2 linked regions of the Oryzias latipes genome follow. The protein of the gene in region 1 purifies or fractionates together with the protein of each later gene. This does not show direct contact. Links are inferred from orthologs where the notes say so. Each region holds a gene or a part of one and is shown in the gene's direction. Other genes may lie near its edges.

Region 1 (3,817 bases):
CCATAAATATATTTGTGAAATAAGGTAATACATCTATTCCAAAAACACAAATGGAAACGTTTCTTTTTAATGTATAAATATACTATGTGTTTAACCTAAGAAATCCACATTTGTTGGTGTTAGTTAGCTTGTGTTTTTGGTCTTGTACATTATGAGAGGGGAGAAAATGGCTTTGTTGATTACAAGGAGGAGAAATACATTTTTTTCTTCCCTTTTAATGCGCATTGTATTGCCTCTTTTTGTTGGAATACATGACTAGGAAGCGTTTATGAAGGCCTTCTTGTGTCAGAGCTACTTTGCAAATGTATATATTTCTTTATTTGTGTGCCACGTGTTTTTTTTTTTTTAAATAATTACTGATGTGGAACGTTCAGCTGCATGTTTACAGACGCTTTTTGTTTTTTATTTTGTTTTTTCCCCATACAGACAAGTCTCACAACGAGAGACGAGTTTCATTGAGAAGATGAAGAAAACTGTAAGTGAATTGGTTTGTCAGCTTCATCTACTTTTAGCTCCTAAGCACTAAATGTCCTTTTCCTGTTGGCTACAGCAGACTGGATAGAAAGCTCTGAATCTCAGAAACATTTTCTAGATTATTTTATTACTTCTGTTCCAGTCCTGACTCTCTTCAGGTAGTTTAAATAAACGCCTTTAGGCTCTATTTTCAGTATTTTTTTTAATTTTTTTTTTACTTGCAAAAGTACAGGAAAAGTTAGCTGTGGTCTGGCCTGTAGCCGTGTGCTTTAGCAGGACAGTGTAAAGAAGGTTCTTTATGTTTGTGGACAGGGGAAGAACATCATCGTGTTCTACGGCTCCCAGACGGGAACAGCAGAGGAATTTGCCAACAGGCTGTCCAAAGATGCTCAGCGCTATGGCATGAAAGGAATGGCTGCTGATCCAGAGGAGTACACCATGGTAATGTGGACCAGTGGGCCCATGTCTAACACTTTCATGTTGTAAAGTAGTACTGTCAGGGTTCTTACTTTTTCCTCAATAAAGTGAAGAAGCACACAGGAGATGAGACTTTTTGCTAGACTTCTGCAGAAGGAGAATCGGTCTGTCACAGCGCGAACTGTCAGAGGAGTTCTGCATTCCTAGTGCATGGAGCCTCTTTTTATTGAAAACGGAAGGTTGCAGACATGAACGTGGTTAAAACGACGGTTTTGGTTGCAGGGGGAACTGGCCCGTATGTCTGAGATCAAGAACTCACTGGCTATTTTTTGTATGGCCACTTACGGTGAAGGCGACCCGACGGATAACGCCCAGGACTTCTATGACTGGCTGCAGGAGAACGATGATGAAGACCTCTCTGGACTGAACTACACTGTGAGTTTCTCCCTGCAGACCCTCCATAAGGCTAAAGTAACCCTTAAAAAAAAAGAGCCAAATCCATAACAATGTAATACCAGAATATTAAGATTAAAATTAAAGTTCTAGAACCCAGCTTTCACATCTAAAAGCCAGGGCTGCAGGGTCAGGAAGTTGTGAGCACTTTCACTTCACAGCCAGAAGGCTGTGGTTTGAATCCCAGCTGGGTCCTTTCTGCACGCGTTGGTTTTCTCTGGCTGCTCAGGTTTCCTCCCACAATCCAAAAATGTGCTTTATAGGTTAATCGGTCTCTCTAAATTGTTGTGAATGTATGTAAAGACCTGGGATGGACTGGTTACCTGTCCGGGCTTTACCCCCACCTTTGCTTCACAGTAGCTGGGATAGGCTCCAGCAACCCGTTTGTTACAATATTTCTGAACATGTGGCGTCTTTTGAGTTTTTCTTTTTTGTTTAGATAATTTTTTGTCATTTCTTGTAGCGATTAGAAGGAAAATGGTCGGTCTAAGTTTGTGTTAAGGTGAAAGACACAGTTGTAACAACAGGAATGCAGCATTTGCAAAGACGCCTTTTAAGTAATTCTGACTTCTAAATCTTGCAGAGATACGAGTCACTTCTGTTCGCATTCAAGCTGCATGTGTGCTGCAAGAGTGGCTCTCTCTGTTTGTGTTTGTGCGTTCGATAGGATCTTCCATGTCAGCAACACACTAATTAAGCTCTGGAGCAACATTAAGCCTCCTCCTTTCCCTGTTTTATCACAGTGCTGAGATGAAACGGAAGGCAGAGTCATCATCATCATGATCACCATCAACGTGTCCTGGTGTGGACATTAGCTACCAGTGTTGCTTCATGTTGTCCTTTATTCTCCAGGTGTTTGCGCTGGGAAATAAAACGTACGAACACTACAACGCGATGGGGAAATACGTGGACAAAAGGCTGGAGGAGCTTGGAGCCAAACGCATCTTTGATCTCGGTTTGGGAGACGACGACAGCAAGTGAGTCACCTGCTAACTAAGACTATTGTAGATCCTCACAAAATGTCACACATGTCGTGAACCTCATTTGTTGATGGACCACTAAAGAAAAGATGATGCTGTTCTTTAAAGTGGAAAAATAAAAGCATTTATTATGGCCACCTGAAGAATGAAAAGCAGTACAAAAATGATTCATTTCTCTGTTTTTTGCCACTATTTTAATTTGTGTACCAGTAAATGTTTTTCAGTAGGTTTTTAGTAAAACTGGCACTTAAATTACTGGAACAAATCCATAATAATGCTCATTTACAGATTTTCTCTATTTAATTTCTTTATGGATGAGTTTAGTATTTAGTATTGAGGAGATTGATTTGCGAGTTTGGGAAAAACATGGCGAAGCCGAACAAGAGCTGCATAAGGCAATAATTCCATCCATCCATCCATCCATCTTCCTCCGCTTATCCGGAACCAGGTCGCGGGGTCAACAGTCTAAGCAGAGATGCCCAGACTTCCCTCGCCCTGGCCACTTCCTCCAGCTCCTCCTGGGGACTCCGAGGCGTTACCAGGCCAGCCGACAGGCGTAGTCTCTCCAGCGTGTCCTAGGTCTTCCCTGGGGCCTCCACCCAGTGGGACATGCCCGGAACACCTCCCCAGGGAGGCGTCCAGGAGGCATCCAGACTTTCGATGTGGAGGAGAAGCGGTTCTGTATTGTACTTGTATTCGAACCTCGTTCTTTCGGTCATGACCCAGAGCGCAGAGCCATAGGTAAGTATTGGAACGAAGATCGACCGTTGCATTGAGAGCTTTGGTTTTCGGCTCAGCTCTCTCTTCACCACAACGGACCGATACAGCGACCGCAAAACTACGGCCGCCGCTTCGATCCACCTGTCACTTTCACGCTCCGGTCTCCCCTCACTCGTGAACAAGACCCCAACATGTTTAAACTCCTCCACCTGGGGCAGGGACACTCCACCCACCGAGAGATAGCAAACTACCTTTCTTCGGTCGAGAAGCATGGCCTCAGATTTAGCGTTGCTCATCCCAGCCGCTGCACTCTCGGCCACAAACTTCCCCAATGCACGCTGGAGGTCCCGGCCCGACGAAGCCAAAAGGACACCATCATCTGCAAAGAGCAGAGATGAAACCCTGTGGTCCCCAAACCAGACCCCCTCCGGCCCCTGGCTACACCTAGAAATTCTGTCCATAATAACAATGAACAGAACCGGTGATGAAGGGCAGCCCTGCCGGAGTCCAACGTCCACCGGGAACAGGTCTGACTTACTGCCAGCTATGCGAACCAAACTCCTACTCTGGTCATACAGAGACCGGGCAGCCCTCAGTAAGGCTCCCCAGACCCCATACTCCTATAGCACCCTCCACAGGATACCACGGGGGACGCGGTCGAACGCCTTCTTCAAATCCACAAAACACATATGGACTGGATGAGCAAACTCCCACAATCCCTCCAGCACCCTAAAGAGGGTGTAGAGCTGGTCCACTGTTCCACGACCAGGACG
Region 2 (4,564 bases), on another chromosome or scaffold:
AAACAAAAGGAAGTTCTGCTGAAGCATTCCTGTTGGTCTTTGACCCCCTCCCCCCAGGTGGACAGAATGGCTTCAATATCCCCCAAGTCAAGGCGTGTCCCGAGGTTGGCCGCTACCTCAGTCTCTCAGAGGAGGAGCTGAGCAGAGTGGACCCCGCCTCCTTGCGGGAGACGGTCCGCCGCCTACTCTGTGACTCATACATGTGTCTGTACCACAGCCCTGAACTCAGCCTGTACCGGTGATCAGCCATCCTGCAGACTGAGCAGCTGTACTCCGCCCTTCCTCTCTGCTGAGACTTAAAACATTGCTTTTCTCGTTTAAAGTGTGTGTGAGATGGGGGGGAGTCTGCAGATGTGGGGTGTGTCTTCTGAAACTGGGACCATGGTTCTTTCATTTTAAAGGACATAAAATCTGCAGTTTCACACTGACAATCAGAGAAACAGCATTTTCAATCTAAACAAACTAAATACCTTGTCCCAAAGGTTTGATGTTTTTATTTATTCTGTATATTTGTCAGCTGTAAATGATGGTTTGTCTGGAAACAAAGAGAGGGACCAGAGGAGGATTCCTGCATGGATTTAGGAAAGAGCTTGAGAGCAGCAGTGACTGTTGGGGATTACAAACGCTGGGATTTATTAAAGGAGTTTGTTGTTACTTCTAATGGGATTCGATGGTAAAGATAGATAGACAACTTTATTTATCCATTTGGGAGGTTCCCGCATGGAAACTGATTAAAGCTCTCCTCCCAGCTGAAAATGCACATGTGTGTCCAACACTGGATCATCAACCCAGACTTTACATTTTTTTTTTTTAAATCAAGATTGTACTTGGTTTATCCCTAGATGGGAGTTAGTTTAATCATTAATAACTGTCCAATTCATTGCACCTTCTGTGATCAGCGTTCACTCTATACCTGTATTGATTGTAGATGAAGCTGCTCTGCTCCAAACCAGCCACACAGCTGGAAGAACAAGAAAGCAGTAACCCTCAGGACGCGAGCCTTATGAGCAATTGTGAGCACAGCAGCATGCTGGGAAATATTTCCACAACCTTTAAAAATGTACATGTGCTGCAAAGTACCGCTGTGACTCACCAGAACCTGACCATAGAACTTGCACTGTTTCACAAATTTCTCAGAGTTTGTACAGAATTATGTTTTTGCGCACAGGTGTTTGAACTTCATAGATACTGACTTTGATTTAATATATAACAGCCACCGGCAAAAATAAAAGACTACCAAAAATATGAAATGACTCATTTTATTTATTCTTTTGTTTTTACTCCTATGAAATCCATGATAAAAAATTGTTGCTTTTAATTTGGTAGAAATAATCCCAAAACTACTTTTACATGTGCTTCACAAACAAAGATTTTCAGTTACTGTTAAAAATACAGAAATATTTTTGTTTTATGATTTCCTAAGGAGTAATGTGTTTGTCAATCGATGGACTTTTCAAATCAGGCATTTGATACTAAAATCAAATATATTCACTTAGTTACTTTGTTTTAAAATCCTTTATTAGTTTTATTCGGGTTTTTAAAAATTCTTCATCTAAATTTAACTTGGTGAGTATTTTTTCTCTCGACATTGTTTTAGATTCTCTTATTTGGTTGGGGCAAGGGTAGTTACGTCACTTCCTTTGCGCAGCCTGACTGCGTCATCATTGAGGGCCTAGAAGGTAAATTTGTTGACTGGTCGAGTTTTAGCGACAGCAGCTCTTCTTTTCGGACATTGTGCCGCGGAATAAGCCTCTGCAGAGCGGCCGTGGGTGCGCTGGTGTCCCCGTGAGGTAGGGGGAGCCTCAGTTTAGATTCTTCAGTCCGGACAGAGTGGATCTGCGCCGTTAACTCGGCTCGTTGTCTTTTCCGAACAGTCGGTTAAATAAAACATTTCAAACCGAGGCTCGTTTGGACAAAGTAATCTAGTATCCTGCCGGTATTTAGTAACGGTTATTACTTTTTGTTGCCGCTGCCTGTAGTTTTGTCGCTGCGGCAAATGACGGCGGTCAGAGCAAATTGTCGCAGTCCCTCCACCATGCCATGGTCCTGATGAATTCTCGATTCTGATTGGCTGCTGGGTGTGCATTAAGGAAGGGTTCATTTGTATTGCGTTAATTTCTGATACTGCACACTCCGTTGGCTATTCACCCTTACTAATTCAACGCATGTATTTCTTTGAAGACTTTTTTTTAAATAAAAGTGTGTCTATTAGATGCAGTGAATTCACTCAAAATCCTACTCCCACACCCATGTTTAAAAATGATGAATATAAATTTATATTATTATTTATTATTATATTAATAATATCAAAAAGGAGTTAAGGTTTGAAAAGATGAATAGTCTGGAGAACTGGGTCACAGAGACCCAAATCTGAGACACCACCCTGGTTTCGAATTCAGACCTGAGCCCAACTATTTTCTTATTTTGAAATTTGAAACAAATAAGATCAGGAAGCAGAAAAAAACTGAAGCAGAAGATGTTGAAGGGTAAAAATAATTAAACTTTTAGGTATTTTGATGAAGAAAACAACAAACTAGCAGGAGGAAGACATTGTCATAATGTATACAATAGTCAACAGAGAGGGTATACCCAATCAACTTTAAAGTAGTTGGAGTGAATGAATGTAAGTGGTAATACTACAACATTAAAAAGACTGCAACAGTTACGCAACACCACAGATTCAAGACTCACTGAAGCAACTGTGATGTCTTTACTCTCATCAGCAGCAATGTTCACATCCTCTTTTTAATATCAATACATTTTACTTAGAAAGTGCTTTTAAACACACCAAAGCACACTGTACATGCAAGAGACAAATAATAAAAATAATACTCCTATTTTAGGGAAACAGAGAGGATAAGGAAACAAATGGAGGGGAAAATTTCAGTTCTAGGAAGAGTTCTGATAGTTGATTTAAAGACAGGAAGTGAATCATGTTTCAGATAGAAGCGAGTTCAAGAGTTGAGGAGCAGAATGAGTAAAGTTCTTTCAGGATGAGGGTGATGTGGTTAGGAGTCCTTATGATGATTTGGGTGGATATTATTGAGGAATTATTTTGTAAGGCCACATAAAAACTTTATAGACACACACTGAGGCAGAATAGGCGGGGGTTGATATTGATATTTTGGAGGTGAAAATATTCCGACTGAATCATGTTGTAGATAATGGAGCAGCATGTATGACGATCATTGATCCGTCACAAGTTAAACCTTTTCTGTTTCTTCCTCTGCAGGTGCTTTCTTCCTCTGAGGTCAAGCAATTTTGTTGATTTATTGCCATGGCGTCTCCAGGGGGGCAAGGAGGGGTTTTGTCCACACGAGGAGGCGGGGCCACGCGGAGGATGAAGTGGGCTCTGGAGCTGAGCCTTGGAAACACCAGGTGAGTGGGATCTCCTCCCTCCAAAGAGTTTCTTTGGGGTTGCGATGTGGAGACTGGCAAGGACCTCCAGGACCTTGAAATGCAAAAATGACATTCTCATTATAAATAAATACAGCTACAAAGGTGGCGTGTGATCCAGTGCAAAGGTGATACTTTTTTTTATTTTTTATTTCCAAAAATAGATAAGTAAAAAAGTACACACCAATCAAACACCGTTTAGGAACAAGAACATTTGATAAACAACAACAACTACAACAAAAGTAAATAAATAAATGAGTGAATGAAAAACACCCCTGGGACTGTAGTGTGTCACTGTAACACAGTGTTGTACAGTCTGAAGGCTGTGGGGAGGAATGACCTGCAGTAGCTCCTTCTTGCACTGAGGGTGCAACAGTCTGGTGCTGAAGGAGCTGGTCAGCGCCTCTACAGTTTGGTGCAGGGGGTGGGAGGGGTTATCCATGATGGATGTCAGCTTAGCTAACATCCTCCTGTCCGCCACCTCCTCGATGGACTCAAGTGTGCAGCCCAGGACAGAGCCGGCCCTCCTGACCAGTTTGTTAAGCCTCTTCAAGTCTCTGCCTGCACTGCCCCCCGCCCAGCACACAACTCCATGAAGGACCACTGAGGCCACCACAGTGTCGTAAAAGGTCCTCAGCAGCTGTCTGCACACGCCAAAGGACCTCAGTCTCCTCTGCAGGTGGAGGCGACTCTGACCCCCCCTGTACAGAGCATCCGTGTTGTTGGACCAGTCCAGTCTGTTGTTCAGGTGAACACCCAGATATTTAAATGTGTCCACGACCTCAATGTCTGAACCCTGGATGTTCACCGGTGAGTGTGGTGTAGGGGACCTCCTGAAGTCCAGGACCAGCTCCTTCGTCTTGCTGGTGTTAAGCAGCAGGTGGTTAACTTCACACCAGCTAACAAAGTCAGTGATGACCCCCCTGTACTCCTGCTCATCCCCCCCTGATACACAGCCCACAATGGCACTGTCGTCTGAGAACTTCTGCAGATGACAGTGGTGGGAGTCGTAGGTGAAGTCTGATGTGTACAGGGTAAACAGGAATGGGGAGAGCACAGTCCCTTGAGGTGCCCCCGTGCTGCAGACCACCACATCAGACACACAGTCACGCAGCCTCACAAACTGTGGCCTGTCTGTGAGGTAGTTGATGGTCCAAGCAACCAGATG

What was found.
Region 2: the proteins of NADPH--cytochrome P450 reductase (region 1) and emc4 purify together in Homo sapiens (affinity purification with mass spectrometry; 3 studies listed by BioGRID and IntAct, with this or other methods). This does not show direct contact. The link is inferred for Oryzias latipes from reciprocal best matches to the Homo sapiens genes POR and EMC4.

Annotation. Positions count from the first base shown.
Region 1 is NC_019871.2:22,326,480-22,330,296, reverse strand, and holds part of NADPH--cytochrome P450 reductase, read left to right. Parts: intron 1-426; coding exon 427-475; intron 476-786; coding exon 787-915; intron 916-1,173; coding exon 1,174-1,326; intron 1,327-2,196; coding exon 2,197-2,321; intron 2,322-3,817. UniProt on the Homo sapiens protein: This enzyme is required for electron transfer from NADP to cytochrome P450 in microsomes. It can also provide electron transfer to heme oxygenase and cytochrome B5.
Region 2 is NC_019876.2:21,393,733-21,398,296, reverse strand, and holds the start of emc4 (ER membrane protein complex subunit 4), read left to right. Parts: upstream 1-1,648; 5' UTR 1,649-1,790; intron 1,791-3,232; exon of another isoform or gene 3,233-3,250; 5' UTR 3,251-3,277; coding exon 3,278-3,378; intron 3,379-4,564. Other genes in the region: ubiquitin carboxyl-terminal hydrolase CYLD, read left to right, coding at 58-242. UniProt on the Homo sapiens protein: Part of the endoplasmic reticulum membrane protein complex (EMC) that enables the energy-independent insertion into endoplasmic reticulum membranes of newly synthesized membrane proteins.